Canis lupus familiaris: one gene and its partner. The protein of the gene in region 1 interacts with the protein of each later gene in a pairwise test. Links are inferred from orthologs where the notes say so. Each region holds a gene or a part of one and is shown in the gene's direction. Other genes may lie near its edges.

Evidence for each region.
Region 2: the proteins of GABARAPL2 (region 1) and GIMAP6 interact in a two-hybrid assay, tested with the Homo sapiens proteins (2 studies listed by BioGRID). The two-hybrid records come from large-scale screens. The link is inferred for Canis lupus familiaris from reciprocal best matches to the Homo sapiens genes GABARAPL2 and GIMAP6.

The regions. Positions count from the first base shown.
Region 1 is NC_049226.1:75,813,236-75,821,347, reverse strand, and holds the start of GABARAPL2 (gamma-aminobutyric acid receptor-associated protein-like 2), read left to right. Parts: upstream 1-3,477; 5' UTR 3,478-4,092; coding exon 4,093-4,126; intron 4,127-4,450; coding exon 4,451-4,506; intron 4,507-5,639; coding exon 5,640-5,812; intron 5,813-8,112. UniProt on the Homo sapiens protein: Ubiquitin-like modifier involved in intra-Golgi traffic. Modulates intra-Golgi transport through coupling between NSF activity and SNAREs activation. It first stimulates the ATPase activity of NSF which in turn stimulates the association with GOSR1.
Region 2 is NC_049237.1:15,574,358-15,582,364, reverse strand, and holds the start of GIMAP6 (GTPase IMAP family member 6), read left to right. Parts: upstream 1-3,709; 5' UTR 3,710-3,920; coding exon 3,921-4,094; intron 4,095-5,871; exon of another isoform or gene 5,872-6,286; intron 6,287-6,292; exon of another isoform or gene 6,293-6,393; intron 6,394-6,449; exon of another isoform or gene 6,450-6,598; intron 6,599-6,955; coding exon 6,956-7,040; intron 7,041-8,007.

The DNA.
Region 1 (8,112 bases):
GTATCAATGATTTAAGTGAATGACTTTCATTTATTCAAGTAACAAAACCATATAATTTAATTCATATGTGGGACTTCAGAAAACAAATGAACAAAGGGAAAAAAAGAGACAAACCAGAAAACAGACTATATTATTATATAGAACAAACCGATGGTTACCAGAAGGCAGGTAGATGGGAGGATCGGTGAAATAGGTGAAGGGCAATGGGGGGCTGACACCAAACACTTATATAAGAGAGCGCTTATCTTGATGAGCCCTGAGTAATATATGGAATTGTTGGATCACTATGTTGTATGCCTGAAACTAATACACCACTGTATGTTAACTACACTGAACTAAAAATTTAAGAATAACCATTAAAATAAGATTCTGGAATCGATGGTTCTAGTGTTACCTCCTGAGTGCAGCTCTACACCAAGGAAAGAGGCATTTGCCTTCAAAGTTCCTTCTTTCAGTAGAAGGAAACACATACTGTGGCTAGTGTCAGCTTAGTCACTGCTGAGAACAAGGTGGTGATTCCTAAGAATTTAGGTGTGTGAAGTGCCTCCCCTGAGATGCCATGAGCTTTGCAAAAGTATTTAATAATAATGGATACTAATACTTACTCTTTGCTTCCATTATTTGAAGAAGCTAATCTTTGTGGTCTTATTTTGATTCTTTAAGAGGGAATTTTATTTTTATTTTTATTTTTTATTTTTTTTTGGAATTTTAGTTTTTAAAAATGCTAAAGGTCTGTGTATATTGTGTCATTGTCATATATTCATAACTGAGAACTGACTTCTCTGTTTCCATTTCCATAATTTTTTCATGTTTCATAAAATTTACTTTTTAAAAAAGATTTATTTATTTTAGAGAGAAGGAGAGCACGTGAGTGGCGGGGAGAGGCAGAGAGGGGGAAATAAGCAGACTCCCCTGCTAAGTGCGGAGCCTGACCCCAGGATGCTGAGCTCATGACCTGAGCCGGAACCGAGAGTCAGACACTATACCTACTGAGCCTCTTAGGTGCACCTTCATAGAATTTACTTTTAAGGACAAAGAGAGTTGTTCTCTTAAAACTACACATTTTGATCACGTTCTACTCCTTTCTAAAAGCTCCCATTCAGGGTATCTCGAATCAGTTCAGAACGCCTGAATGTTCACATCAAGGCTTTCCAGCATTTGTCTATATTGCTTCCCAGTTCCCTCTTCTAACCCCAGTCTTTGTGTCTATTAAGCGAAGTTTGTCCTTTGAAAAATGTACACTTCTCTCTGACACATAAGATTCACATTCTCTGTTTAGTCTTTTTTGATAAGCCTCGCTTGGTTTGGTGTCAGCCCCCATTGCCCTAACCATCCTTCAGCATTCAAGTGCAGGACCTCTCCAACATCTGAAATTTATTCTGCATATTTTATAAGTCTGTTAATATATAACTGCATACTTTAATTATCCTATTTTTTCTTCTGAGTCATCTTTTCAACTAGCCACCCCCTCAAGGAAGGCATTCGGTATCTTTAGAACATTCAATAAGCTAGTATAATGACCCCATAGGTAAAGAAGGTGATGCATATCATCAGGGCAGATCAGAGAATCCAATTAGAATGGTGAACTGGAAAAAGACATCAAAGAAGTAAGTAAAGATAGAAGACAGAAAAACACTGCACCTTACGAAGACCATCAGGTTACACTCCTGTAAGGGGTGACTTATGGGATCTTTCCACTTTGATTCCTCAGTGTTTAATTCTATTTGCAAAATAGGTATTTTCAGTTTTTTCATTCACTCTCTAGCTGATCTCATCAGTTCAATAGCTTTAAATACTTCTCTCTTGAATTTGAGACTCATAGATCTATTCACTTACTCCATATATCTTCATTTGGATGTGTCCCTTGGGCATCTCAGACTCAATAGAGCCAAAACCAAACCTTGATCCCCACCTCCCCAACTGGCTCCACTCTATTTCAGTAAATGGCAATTCCATCCTTCTAAAAACTCTGACTTTGACTTGTCCCTCACACTTCATATTCAATCTATCATCAAATTTTGTTGGTTGGCTCTACCTTCAAAATATATCTAGAATATAATTGCTTCCCACCATCCCCACAGACATTATCTTGGTCTAGGCCAACATCATCTTCCACTTGGATTATCACAATAGCTTCCTAATTGTTTTCCTGACTTCCATTCTCAAACCCTTAGAGTCTGTCTACAAAAAAGCTAGCCTGCTCAGTTCAAAAGGAAAGCCATACCATGTCACACCTCTGCTTAAAATCCTCTACTTCTCATTTCATTCTAAATAACATCCAAAGTTCTTCACATGAAATTCAAAACTCAACAGCTGGGCAGCCCGGGTGGCTCAGCGGTTTAATACTGCCTTCAGCCCAGGGCCTGATCCTGGAGACCTGGGATCGAGTCCCACGTCGGGCTCCCTGTGTGGAGCCTGCGACTCCCTCTGCCTGTGTTTCTGCCTCTCTCTCTCTCTGTCTCTCATGAATAAATAAATAATCTTAAAAAAAAAAAAAACTCAACAGCTTTGTTACACATATCTTTGATCTCATCTTCTAACATACCCCCCCTTGCTAATTCAGCTCCAGCCACAAGGGGTTCCTTCCTGTCCCTGATTATGCCAACCACTTTACCTGATTAGCATTACCCCACTGTCACTCGTCACCAACCCTGCTTTATTTTCTAAACAGCGCCTACCATTACCTGACATTTGTTGTCTTATCCCACTAGAAACTCCTTGACAGCTGAATGTTCTGTTCACTGCTTTTCCTCAACACCTAGAACAGTGCTCCTGTATGCAGCAGTAATAATTTCTAGGTATGAAATTCAAAGGGCTTTTCACTTCATTAAAAACAAGCAAGCAAACAAAAGCCTATTTTGGTTGCTCAGACAATCTTAAAATAACCAAAATGCTTCTAGAATGAAGCTAGATTCCACAGCATCCATCAGGAATTACAACTATGGGAAATGGTGAACGACAATATTCACACATGCAATCCTTTCAGATGCATCAGAATCATAAGCACATGACAAGGATCATGTGCCCAATTAAATGAATATTCTTGTTACATATTCACCAGCTAGTAAACAGATGTTGACCCAGAGCAGACTGTCCTGATGACTCTGCTAGGAAGAAAGAGGTGACATCACTGGAGAACTCAAGGCATATGCTCAGGCAGGTGACACACGTACGCACAGCCTAGACTGTGATTGCTGAACTCCATGCTGACTGCCAAAGAAATTTGTCTCATGACTCTCAGGGGAATTCTCTCAGCCAGACAGTCACCTCTAAGTCCTCTGTAGTTAAGGTTAAGGGGTCTCTTTGTGATCAGTGAGATGTTATGCTCCTCAAATGTCTATTTGTGATACATGTGCTTACATGTTTAGTCAAACGTTTATTTATTCATGAAAAAAGGAAGGAAATAGGGTTTTGTTTAAATTCCATTTCTAGGTCCAAGGCCACCTGTTTTGGCTGTCTCCAATACTGAACCCCCGGCTTGTCATCAGAACCTCTCCCCACACAGGCCCCTCAAATTAGCCACACCCTCCAACCTGTTACCACTCCAAACAATACTCCCCAAACTGTCAATGCGCTAAACAGATCTCCCCCACCCCGCCATTATCGACCATCAGAGACCCCTCGTCTGTCACTCATGCTCCAAAATTCCCGACACCGAGACTTCCCTCATGAAAAGCCCTCTGAGCGCCCTATCCTATCAGCCAGACCCCCAAACTCCTCTTCCCGTTACCAACGTCCGCCGAGACCCGGTTCCTGTTAGCAGTTCCCGACAGCATCCCCTTCCCCGTCACCGAAACCCCTCCAGGACTGCCGGGTGGCCAACGTCATCAGCCCCACTTCCTCGTAGCCTCGCCTCGCCCCGCCCCGCCTCGCCGCTCGCCCCGCCCCTTTGAATGTGGCCACGCCCCCTGGCGCGGCGTCCCGGCGAACTGCGCCGGAAGCCCCGCCCCCGGCCGGTTGCTAGGCTCCGGCAGCCGGAAGTCCCGCCTGCCGTGTAGTCGCCGCCGCCGCTGCTGCCGTCGTTGTTGTTGTGGTTGGTTCGCTGAGCTCCGCGGCTCCGAGAGCCGGCTGCATCCCTTCCCCGCCGTCGCCATGAAGTGGATGTTCAAGGAGGACCACTCGCTGGGTAAGGCTCCGTCAGAGGCCGGGTGGTGGGGGTCGCGGCGGCGGGTGGGCCCCCTCCCCCACTCGGGCCGCCCTGGGCTGGGCCGGGCGGGGCGGATGCCGAGCTGTGGCCTCGGGTCGCGGAGGCCCCGGCGCCCCCGCCGGCTGCCCACGGACGCTGTGCCGCCTTCTGCCCTCCTGCCGGGAGGCGGGGGCCGAGGACCGAGGCCGCCGAGACGCCGTAACAAGGACCCGGGCGTGCGCAGGTCGCTGGGGGAGGTGGGTCGGGGGCGCGGGAAGCGGCGGACGAGCAGGCGCGACCGGCAGCCCCGTCTGTTTCCCACAGAACACAGATGCGTGGAATCCGCGAAGATCCGAGCGAAATACCCCGACCGCGTTCCGGTGAGTGCACTCCCCGCCCCCTCACCTCGTCGTCACCCCGTCGTCTAGGACTCGCGATAGGGCCCCGGGCCACTCAGCAGTTGATAAGTTGAGGTTCCAGTCCCAGTTATAGGAGCAGACAAGCCAGACGGGGCTCGGGGCCTTGGGGGCCGTGGCGTGAGGGGCTTGAGCAGGTGCTGTTCAGGGTGCCTCAGTGCTGAATCTCCCGATCTAGGCCAGCGAGCTGTCTGCAGCCTCTGGGCTCCCTCGCCAATTATGTAAGGAACGATGTTCTAGGACAGGGCAACAGGTCACTGCCACTTTTGGGAACACTGGTGGAGGGAGACTGTCACTTTGGTCTTAGAAGTGGTACTTTAGTCTCAGGACACTCATCTTTAACTTTGAGCCTCTGTCTTTACTTGATTTCTAGCTCCCTTTCCTCACTCTGACCCTGTCATCCTTTGCTGACCAAAAAAAATCTGAGAAGCCTCTGAGAACTCCCTTCTTTCGTGGTTCCTCCTTAATCAGTAATAAAGATCCTGTTTCTTCCGTGGTAGGGGTAAAGTTTCTATAATTCTTACTGATTTTTAGAGGACATCCGTGTCTGTTATTGTAGCTCTTTGTTTGAACAAGCAAAACTCTGAGGAGGGGTTAGGAGGGACACATTTGAAACCTAGTTCAGGGAGAAGCAACAGGCCAAATGAGGAGCTTGGTTTACTCATTCCCATTAGTCCATCCATTCCTCTCCCCTTTGTTCCTTGGGATCTTACTTCCTCTGTAGTGTGAAGGCAGATTCATTCTGGAGTCTTGGAGTAACTGGCTGTAGATGAAACCAGGTATCTCAGGTCTGCCCAGACAAAATGTCGAAGAGCTTTGTAGTAAGGGCGTGTGTTTCTCTTATGCTCGCTGAGATGCAGGATGATAAACATAATTGACCACAGAAAAGCACTTTCTGTTTCCATATCATACATTTATGTCAGTTCTTAACCTCCAGAGTTAAGAGTTTGTGGTTTATTAAATCAGGGGCATATTTTCCAGTGTTGTGCAGTTTCCCACCCACCTCCTTGCCCACATAGTATTCATCAGCTCCCTGGCAATGCAAGGCCAGAGCCTCACTTTAGAAACCCAGTCCTGATCTCTCTTTGCTTTCCCAGGTGATTGTGGAAAAAGTCTCAGGCTCTCAGATTGTCGACATTGACAAACGGAAGTATTTGGTTCCATCTGACATCACTGTGGCTCAGTTCATGTGGATCATCAGGAAAAGGATCCAGCTTCCTTCTGAAAAGGCAATCTTCCTGTTTGTGGATAAGACAGTCCCACAGTCCAGGTGAGAAGTGTTTACTAGCATTGGCCACCTGCTTGGCTGCTTACAGAACTCTAAACTTTGGAGGTGAGAAAACTCTTAGAGGTCCTGACTGGAAATCTGGATGTTGTGCTCCCTGACATGAGGAGCTCAAGGAAAATAAGAAAGGGCTACAGTATCTGGGAATATACTTTGGGTTAAGAAAATAGAACAAGGTTGGACTTAAAAAAAAAAAAAAATCTAGCCTCAGACCCTGATGAATACTTTAAAACAGTTCAGGATTTACTTAGGCTTAAGCCATCACTAGAACCTAAATGAGCCTAAAATTAGGTTTTCTTTAAATGACCCATGAAATAAGTCCTGTCGTTCTCCACTAGGGGCTTGTGGGCCCTGCTGAGGCTCAGCTTCAGTTAATCATCCTCCTGCTTGCTCTCCAAACTTAGTTCTGTGCCACTGCGAGTGTGTAGCTGTCTGATCCTCAGGTATGCTGGAATGGCTGCTGTCCAGCAAAAGGCTCTGAGGTCTCTTTACAGACTTACACCCCCCCTCGTAGCACCTGCTCCGACTGTCAGAGTAACCGCCCCCCTTGCTCTAGCTGTTGTGCTGCCTAGAAGCATTCTTTGGCATAACTTGGGGCCCGAGTCTTCTGGGGCATTATAATTCTCTTCTTCTGTGTAGTTGACAGCCCAGCTTTAGTCCCTGGTGGAAAAAAGAAAATGGACTGGCTCCTTCAAAATTCCTGGTCAGTCCTTTGCCATTACTGGTTGAGTATTAGCCCTTGAGCCAGATGCTAGTCCCTCTCCCCCGAGTGTGAGTTCCTGGCTACATCTCATCTTGGAGACTCCAAGTAAGTCTCATTGGTTACTCCCCTAAAGGTAGTACTTCTGCAAGCTTAGGCTTTCAGAATCCCTGGAACTATCCCAGTTTGGCCAAAATATGTTCCCTTTGAAAATCCTTGAAAGCTCCAGAAAAGACCTAAGCCAAAATCTAGTCCCTTTCCTATGACAGATAGCTCTGGCTATTTTTTTATCTGATTTACTTTCCTAATCTCCACCACCTCCATTTCCTGTGTTTGGCAGAGAGGTTGGGGAAAAATGAAAGGTTCTTCAGTAAGGTCAGTGTCCAGCCTGAGGAGATCCGCCTGGCCTGCCTGCTAGGTGCTGTTGGTCTCCTATAGCTGTTGTTCAGGAAGCTGTGGTGTTGGCAGAGGCGGTCTTGACACCTGGTGGGGCTCTTCCAGCCTTCCTTCCCCGACCTCCAGGCAGCATGGTGCTGGGTTCATCAGGTTAGGAAGCCCTGGGCATCTGTAGTCGTAACTCAGCTTCTCTTAAGGTGGTGGAGAGGTGAATCTTCAGTCATCACACTGCTGATCACTTGACAGCAGCACACACAGAACTGCCACAGGGTCTCCTGCTAACTCCATCTCCTGCAGCTTCTGCAGAGTCTGGGTAACTCTGTGTTTCCTCCTTCCTGGCAGTGGCTTCTTAGGGAAGGAAGCAGGTGTCTAAGACCTGTGGCTTTGAATTTATTTGATCAATTCTTCTGATTTTTCTTTTCCTTTTCCTTTTTTTTTTTTTTTTTTAAGATTTTATTGATTTATTTATGAGAGACACAGAGAAGGCGGAGACATAGGCAGAGGGAGGAGCAGGCTCCTCGCAGGGAGCCCGATGTGGGACTCCATCCCGGAACTCTGGGATCATGGCCTCAGCCGAAGGCAGACGCTCAACCACTGAGCCACCTAGGCATCCCACTTTTGATGTTTCTTAAAGGAGATGTGCAGGCTTCTGGAGACACTGTTACTCTGATGGCCTCATGTTAATCTAGCAATTAAAATGGCTGCAGATTAGCAACTGCCCCCTCCCTCCATTATCCCTGAGATATAAATAGAATTGGAAATCAAAAGTAATTCTCAGGGCAGCAGAGGCTGCTTCCTTTTCTCTCCCAGTCCCATTTGCCTTTCCAGCCTGGTAAGAATCTGCCCTAAAGCAGATGACACCAGTGACCCCTGTCAGGATTTTAGAGAATCGCTAACCAGGCTTCCTCTGCCCGGGCCTTTGGCCCCAGTTAATGACTTTCTGTCCCCACACTTAATACAGCGATTTGGTTTTTTTAAGAAAATTTGTTTCTAAACAAAAGTGGTATATGACATCACTGGGCCTTATGCAAATACTGATCACTTGACAGCAGCACACACGGAACTGCCACAGGGTCTCCTGCTAAAGCTAATGTGTGACTCAGTCCTGCCATCTCCTCCCCAAGGCACGTTAACAGCAGCCTCTTCCTCAGCTCCTTCCAGCCTCCTTAGGAAGTGCGGGGCCTCAACC
Region 2 (8,007 bases), on another chromosome or scaffold:
TTTTTTAATTTTTTTTTTAAATTTATTTACGATAGTCACACACACAGAGAGAGAGGCGAGACACAGGCAGAGGGAGAAGCAGGCTCCATGCACCGGGAGCCCAACGTGAGATTCGATCCCGGGTCTCCAGGTTCGCGCCCCCCGCCAAAGGCAGGCGCTAAACCGCTGCGCCATCCAGGGATCCCTCTGGCTTTTGTTTTTGATTTTTACTTACCATTATGTTTGAGCTTTATCCCTATTATAATATGTAGCAATATTTTGTGCATTCTCATCATTGTATATAAATTGTATTTTCACACTACAGACTATAACCCAATTTATATATGTATAATTTATAATTTACGAGTGAATATATAATCAATACAATTACTCCAATTAATGTAGTCTACATTGTTTTTGCATTTTTGTTTTAAAAACACTTTTTCAGCTCTTTTACTTTATTGTATTTTCCACTATATTGAGGTATAATTTTGACAAATAATAATCACCTACTGACAAGATAAATTGACAAATTGACAGAATTGTATCTGTTTAAGGTCTACAACTTGATGATTTGATATAGGCATACACTGTGAAATATTCACCACAATCAAGTAATTGACATATCCACTGTCTCACAAGGTTATGTTTCCTTCCTTCCTTCCTTCCTTCCTTCCTTCCTTCCTTCCTTCCTTCCTTCCTTCCTTCCTTCCTTCCTCCCTCCCTCCCTTCCTTCCTTTGTGAGAATACTTACCCCTTGGTGGGCATTTATGTTGTTTCCAGGTTTGTGCTATTCTGAGTGTCACTATAATATCACAGGCATTCCTTTTCAGGGAACACAGGCACCTATGTCTGTTGGGGGTGTGCTTCCTGGTAGGATAGCTTGGTATTGACTCTATTCCTGGGTACTGCAGACTTTTCCAAAGGGGTTCTACCAACTTCTGAGTTCTATTTCCATAACCTCAGAAGTTTCCTTTATATAGAATGTTTACACGATTTTCAAGTCTATTCTTAGGCATTTTACTTTTTGTTGTTATTTTTTAAATCACAAGTTATATCTAGTTGGCTATTGTTTTTATGTTAGTCAGTTTGTATGGTTTTTATTTAATTTTGCACTCATTAATTTATTTACTGCTCTTAATAGGAGCTTATTGTGATGTAGGAATGAGTCAGGGACAGATGGCACCTGGCAGGGAAAGATAACGGAATGGCCCAAAGTCAGGCTCCCATAGATCTGTAGGCTCCCATAAACCCCAAGGACACCAAAAGACCCAGAGTCAGGCTCCTACCCATCCCAAGGAAACAGAGATAAGTAAAAAAGTAAAAAAAAAAAAACAAAAAACAAAAAACAAAACAAAACAAACAAAAAAACCCCCCACACACACAGAGAGAAAGAGGGACGCCTGGGTGGCTCAGCAGTTGAGCATCTGCCTTTGGCTCAGGGAGTGATCCTGGAGTCCCAGGATGGAGTCCCACATGGGGCTTCCTGCATGGAGCATGCTTCTCCCTTTGCCTCTGCCTCTCTCTCTGTGCCTCTCATGAAGAAAGAAAGAAAGAAAGAAAGAAAGAAAGAAAGAAAGAAAGAAAGAAAGAAAGAAAGAAAGAAAGAAAGAAAGAAACCCAGCTCCCTAGCTCTAAAATGTTAGGGAGTATCCCCCTTTAGTGGCTACTAAGTAATCACAGAAACTCACCAAACCACAAAGAATATGTCATTAAGGTATTATCAATAGTCCCCTCTCACACCAAGACTGTACAAGAATCCCCAGGCCGTGGGCTCCCTGGCTAGGTTCTCAATAACAGATTGCCACTAAAAGCCCTCACTGGCAACCCTGTTGGGAGCCCTTTCACCTCTGAGAGCTTCCTCTGTATCTTTGCTTAATAAACTTCTATCGCTTTACTCACTCTCCGTTGTCTGCGCGATTCATTCTTCGACTCTGTGAGACAAGAACCTAGCTCTCACGTATCAATTGGTTTATTCATGTTTTTAAGATTTATTTATTTATTTGAGAGAAAGTGTGTGTATGAGCAGGGGGAGGGGCAAAGGGAGAGGGAGAGAAAATCTTAAGCAGACTCCCTGCTGAATGTGGGGCCTGATGGGGGGGCTTAATCCCAGGACCCTGAGATCATGACTTGATCTGAAATCAAGAGTTGGGTGCTTAACCAGCTGAGCCACCCAGGTGCCCTTTGGTTTATTCTCTTGATTTTCTCAGACATATAATCACAACCTTTAGAAATAATGATAATTTTACATCCACTTTATGTTTTTTATACATGCGATTTATTTGTTATTTCTGGTTTTAGTGTATATTTCCTCAAAACATTTAAAATAGTGTTAACATTTTAAACCTCCAGATCTCCATTAAACCTCCGAAATGCTTATCAAAATCTTTTGATTAACAGAACACCTTCCCTGAGGAGCCTTTCAGCTCTAGCTCTTCACAGCAGTTCCTGAGAAAAAAGATGGGATGAAGCATTCAAGTAACCAAAGGAAGTCCATCAAGGCGGGAGCAGAGGGGAGAAGAAAGAGGCTGGAATGAAGTGGTGAGAAAACAGTACAAAGTGACCATATCACCTGGGTCATCCAAAGCAGCCATGGTGGGGAGGAAAAGCTAAATAAATTGTGATGATCACAGACCCACTCAGAAAGGGTGATTTAATTTCAAGATCATGCTTCCCCCTCCCACTCCTACCACCACATTGACAGGGCCTCGGTATAAAAACAGTGAATTAAAGCCAAAAGAACAGCACTGCACAAACTCTATTTAAGAAGGGCTTCTTAGGGAAACCCACAGACAACAGAGAAACGAGACAACAGGAGCACTGAAGGAAACTATGGGAGCCTGACTTTGGGCCATTCCGTTATCTTTCCCTGCCAGGTGCCATCTGTCCCTGACTCATTCCTACATCACAATAAGCTCCTATTAAGAGCAGTAAATAAATTAATGAGTGCAAAATTAAATAAAAACCATACAAACTGACTAACATAAAAACAATAGCACCTACATCCATGGGAAACATGAACACAGCCCGACTCCTAGACAGATGGACATGAAACATCACACTACAGCCCTAGTTACCTCAGTTCCTAAACTCTGATAGATCACGTTCAGCTTGGCATGTCAACACAAGCTGTGCTAAGAGGCAAGAAGCACAGTCTGGAGGGGCACCTGGGTAGCTCAGTGGTTGAGTGTCTGCCTTCATCCCAGGTCGAGATCCCAGAGTCTTGGGATTGAGTCCTGCATGGGGCTCCCTGCAGGGAGCCTGCTTCTCCCTCTGCCTAGGTCTCTGCCTCTCTCTCTGTGTCTCTCATGAATAAAAAAATAATATCTTTTTAAAAAAAGCACAATCTGGAGACACAGAGCAAACTAGACTCAGCTATAAGTCAGATATTAGAATTGTCAGACGTGTGTGTACACACATATATAAAAAGATTTATTATAAAGAATTGGCTACAAGGTTTACTCTACAGGATGGGCTCAACTGTGGTTCAGCTGACAAGTCCCAAGGCCCCATAGTCCCAGAAAGAAAATGTGTAAAGGGAGTTGGAATTGAGGAGGGAGGAGGAGATGCCAGGCACCTGCCACTATGGTAAAGGCATGGGGTCTCTGTAGCAAGCAGGCAACTCGCAAAGAAGGGACATCTGTAAAAAATCATTCCCCTTGCACAGCATTTTCTAGAGAATCTGCTGCTTCTTTCTAAGCCTCTGAGATCTCAGTGTCCTAGTGCAGGATCAAAATCATAACAACACGGGTGTTCATGTTTTTCCTGTTTCTACTACCAAAGCCGCAGACAAAATGCAAACGGTGGCGAGTGTCTTCTGACGGAGGAGGGGCTGCCCTGGGTGTTCCTGTTCACTTCCTGACAGCTGCTCTCTCAAGGGCACTTCTCGGAGCTGAGCTTTCTGATCCCATTTTGCTGGAAAAAAAAAAACCAAACAAGCCATGTCCTTTATCTATTCCTACACCGTGGACACTTTCCTCCACCTCCTTCAGTCAAGGTCCTCAAAAGTCCACGATGCGTCGGCCCCAAAAGGAGAAACAAAGAATTCACAAGAGCATGTGGCCTCAGGAGACAGAGAACATCGCCATTCCTCCTGCCCAGCAGCTGACAGCGTGGTAAGTCCAAGTGTGTGGGGAAGTGTGTCTGTGTGTGTTGTTTGTGTGTGTGTGTCATGTACCTATGTTCCCGTGTGTGTTGTGTTTTTGTGTTTGTGTGAATATGTGTTGTGTTTGGGAGTGTATGGGTGGAGTGTGTGTAAAGGGTTTGTGTATATGGGTGTGTTTATGTATATCATGTGTTTGTGTGGATGTGTGTGTTGTGTATTTATGTTTCCATGTGTGTTATGTTTGTGTGTACGAATGTATGTGTGTTCATTATGTTTGTGCATATATTTGTGTGTTTATGTATTTGTATGTGTATGTGGTGTGTTTTGAGTGTATGTGTGTAAGTGGTATGTGTGACATGTTTGTGTGTATGTGTGTATGTTTGTGAGTGTTGGTGTTGGTGAGTCTATGGGTGTGTGTTGTGTTTGTGAGCCTGTGGGTGTGTTTGTGAGTGTATGTATGTTTGTGAGTGTGGGTGTTTGTGAGTCTGTGGGTGTATATGTTAGTGAGTGTGGGTGTTTGTGAGTCTGTGGGTATGTGTATATTTATGAGTGTGGGTGTTTGTGTGTGTGAGTCTATGGGTGTGTGTATGTTTGTGAGTGTGGGTGTTTATGAGTCTGTGAGTGTGTGTATGCTTATAAGTGTGGCTGTTAGTGAGTGTGGGTATTTGTGAGTCTGTGGGTATGTGTATGTTTGCGAGGGTGGGTGTTAATGAGTCTGTGAGTGTGTGTGTGAGTGTGGGTGTTTGTGAGTGTGTGGGTGTGTGTATGTTTGTGAGTATCTTTGTGGCTGTGTGGCTGTGGGTGTGTATGTTAGTGAGTGTGGGTATTTGTGACTGTGGGTATGTGTATGTTAGTGAGTGTGGGTGCTGGTGAGTCTGTGGGTGTATGTACGTTGGTGAATTGGTGGGTGTGTGTATGTTAGTGAGTGTGAGTGTTTGTGACTATGGGTGTTTGTGAGTCTATGGGTGTGTGTATGTTAGTGAGTGTGGGTGTTTGTGACTATGGGTGTTTGTGAGTCTGTGGGTGTGGGTATGTTTGTGAGTGTGGATGTTTGTGACTATGGGTGTTTGTGAGTCTATGGGTGTGTGTATGTTAGTGAATGTGGGTGTTGGTGAGTCTGTGGATGTTGGGGAGTCTGTGGGGTGTGTGTTAGTGAGGGTGGGTGTGGGGGAGTCTGTGCGTGTTGGTGAGTCTGTGTGTGTGTGTTAGTGAGTGTGGGTGTTGGGGAGTCTGTGGATATTGGGGAGTCTGTGGGGGGGTGTGTTAGTGAGTGTGGGTGTTGGGGAGCCTTTGGGAATGTGCTGTGCGTGTAGCGCATGCACGCGCGTCTACAGTGGAATAGAAAGAGCCGTGACTAGGAGGTCAGGAGAACCCTTGCCCTACGTGCCCTGCCGCGAAGTCACTGCTCAATTCTGGGCAAGACGCTTCTGCGAGCTGACCTTCCTGGGAAACATGAGATGACAGGCTGCTCGTGCTCATGCTGGAGGCAAAAACTGCCAAGTGTGGCAAACATGTGAGGTGCTGCTCAGGGCCGGCCGTGGGGCGAGGCGGCGCGGGGCGGGGTGCGCACTCCCTCGGGGTGCCCGGCTGCAGTGCCCGGTTCAGATTCTCTGCCCAGGTGCCTCCCCCGCCTTGCCCACCAGCCCTGCTCATACCTTCCAGGAAGCCTCGCTAGAGGAGCCACCAGATTTCCCTGGTGAAGCGCTGCCTCAGTTTCCACCGAGGGTGTAAGGGAGCCAGGGGCAAAGAGGGTGGGGGTCTCCAGGTGCAGAGATAGGAGCGCTAACCTCCTTGTTCCAGAAGCCCCTGGGAGAGGATCAATGCTGTGTCCTCACCAGAATGTTGCTGACCGGTCTGGGGGGAAGCTGTTCACCTGGGCCGGTCACTTTCTTGTCCTGGAAACTCCCAAGACTCACTGGCGGTGTCCACTCTGAGCCTGGGGCCTTGGAGCTGGCAGGGCTGCACACGGCTGACGGTCACGAGGAACGGCCTCAGCGGCCTCCCACCGGCCAGCTGCTGGGACCCGGGCAGCACCGAAGTCATCGCCAGGCCCACAGACCAGGCCCAGTAGCCTTTCGGGGCTGTCCTCATCCTAAATGACGGTGATGGGAGATGAGCTCTGAGGTCCCCTGGCTCCCAGCCAGACTCTGTCCCTGTTGTTCTCACACAGAACCCGGCCACCCACCTCTTGCCCTCTGCAACCCTCACCGCTGAGCCTTTCCCAAAGGTCAGGCATGGATCCCTCTTCTTGGTCCAAGACCCGCGTGTCCCCCCACCCCCACCCCCAGCCCAGCCAGCCTGTGGCTGCAACTTCCTGCCAGCGCCCTCCAGATCTTTCCACTGCTCTCAGGACCCAGTATCAGACCTGCCTCTGCTCTCTGCTCCTCCCTCTCCTCGCAAAGCATGTTGTTCCAGGTCCCTGTCTATAAAACGCCACCTGCTCCTCAGCCTGCCGCTGAGGCCATCCCCCTTTTTCTGTGAAGTCTCCTAAACAGACAGTAGAAACCACAGTGGTGGGGGGGCGGGGAGAGAGGAGGGGAAAGGAAGACAGAAAGGAAGTGGGAAATACCAGAAAGGGAGACAGAACGTAAAGACTGCTAACTCTGGGAAACGAACTAGGGGTGGTGGAAGGGGAGGAGGGCGGGGGGTGGGAGTGAATGGGTGACGGCACTGGGGGCTATTCTGTATGTTAGTAAATTGAACACCAATAAAAAATAAATTAAAAAAAAAAAAAGAAAGGAAGTAGAGACCCCTCGGGCCCCCTCCTCTTTCAGGCTGCTCCCCCTCAAACCAATGCTTCTGGCAAGAGAAAGGCAACGCCTCTCCGAACTCTGCTGAGAAACTAACAAGACGCATTATGGTTATCTCTAGCCGGAGGAAGAAGAATGCGAACATATTCTGGAGGAGGACCCTGCAGGAGAGCTGAATCTCGATCCTAGACCAGGCATTTTAGGAGGTAAACCACTTTCTAACAGGAATGAACTTGAGAGAGGTGCGGATGGCGGCATTCAATGTGTACGTGGGTGTGTAGGGACCGGCGGCAGGGCTCATCCTGGTCAGAGATTTGCCCACCTGGGCCGCCATCAAAGGGTCTTTGGGTGGGGGCCCTCCTCTACTCAGCCAAGTAAGAGGGAAAGGTCCCTGACAGGCAGACGAAGGGAGAGAGAGTGCCAGCCACCACCTTGACTAAATCTCTGTGCCAGGCCCAAGGGAAAGGGCCTGTGCCTTCTGGGATTTCGTCCTCAGGAAGGAGGTGCTGATGGTCAGTGTGACCAAATGACTTGCCCAGACCTCGTACAGGTGTCTGGATCCGATGGGAGAGCTCCTGGGGTCCTATGGGCTGCAGAGCACCACCGGCACAAGCAGGATATCCTAGGCCTGCACTTGGCCTTCTCAAGGGCTTCTGTCCCCCCAAAAGTTATGGCATCAGGGTCAGGAGCTGAGCTTCTGAGGGCTCAGTGTGGCCACTAACCTGGGGACACAGAATCTGGGACTGCTGGAAAATGAATGGATTTCATGGCAGCACTGTTCACAATGGTAAAAGGTGAAAACAACCCAAATGTTCATATATGTGTAGGAATAATCAAGAAGCGCCATATACCTACAATGGAGTATTATTCAGTCTTAAAAAGGTGGGAAATTCTGTGCTGGGCTGCAACATCCATGCCCTGGGAACCACTGTGCTAACTGAAATAAGGCCGACACAGAAAAACGAATGTAATTACAATTTGGAAAATGAAATAAAATAATTACAATTTGGGATGATGAAAACATTCTTGAGAGGCACCATGGAGATGATTGCACAACAGCGTGAATGTCCTGGGCGCCACTGAACTGCGCGCCTAAAACTGAGGACAGTGATAAGTTTGATGTTATACTATACTTTTTTATGCTATATAAATACCATGATAATAATAATAAGC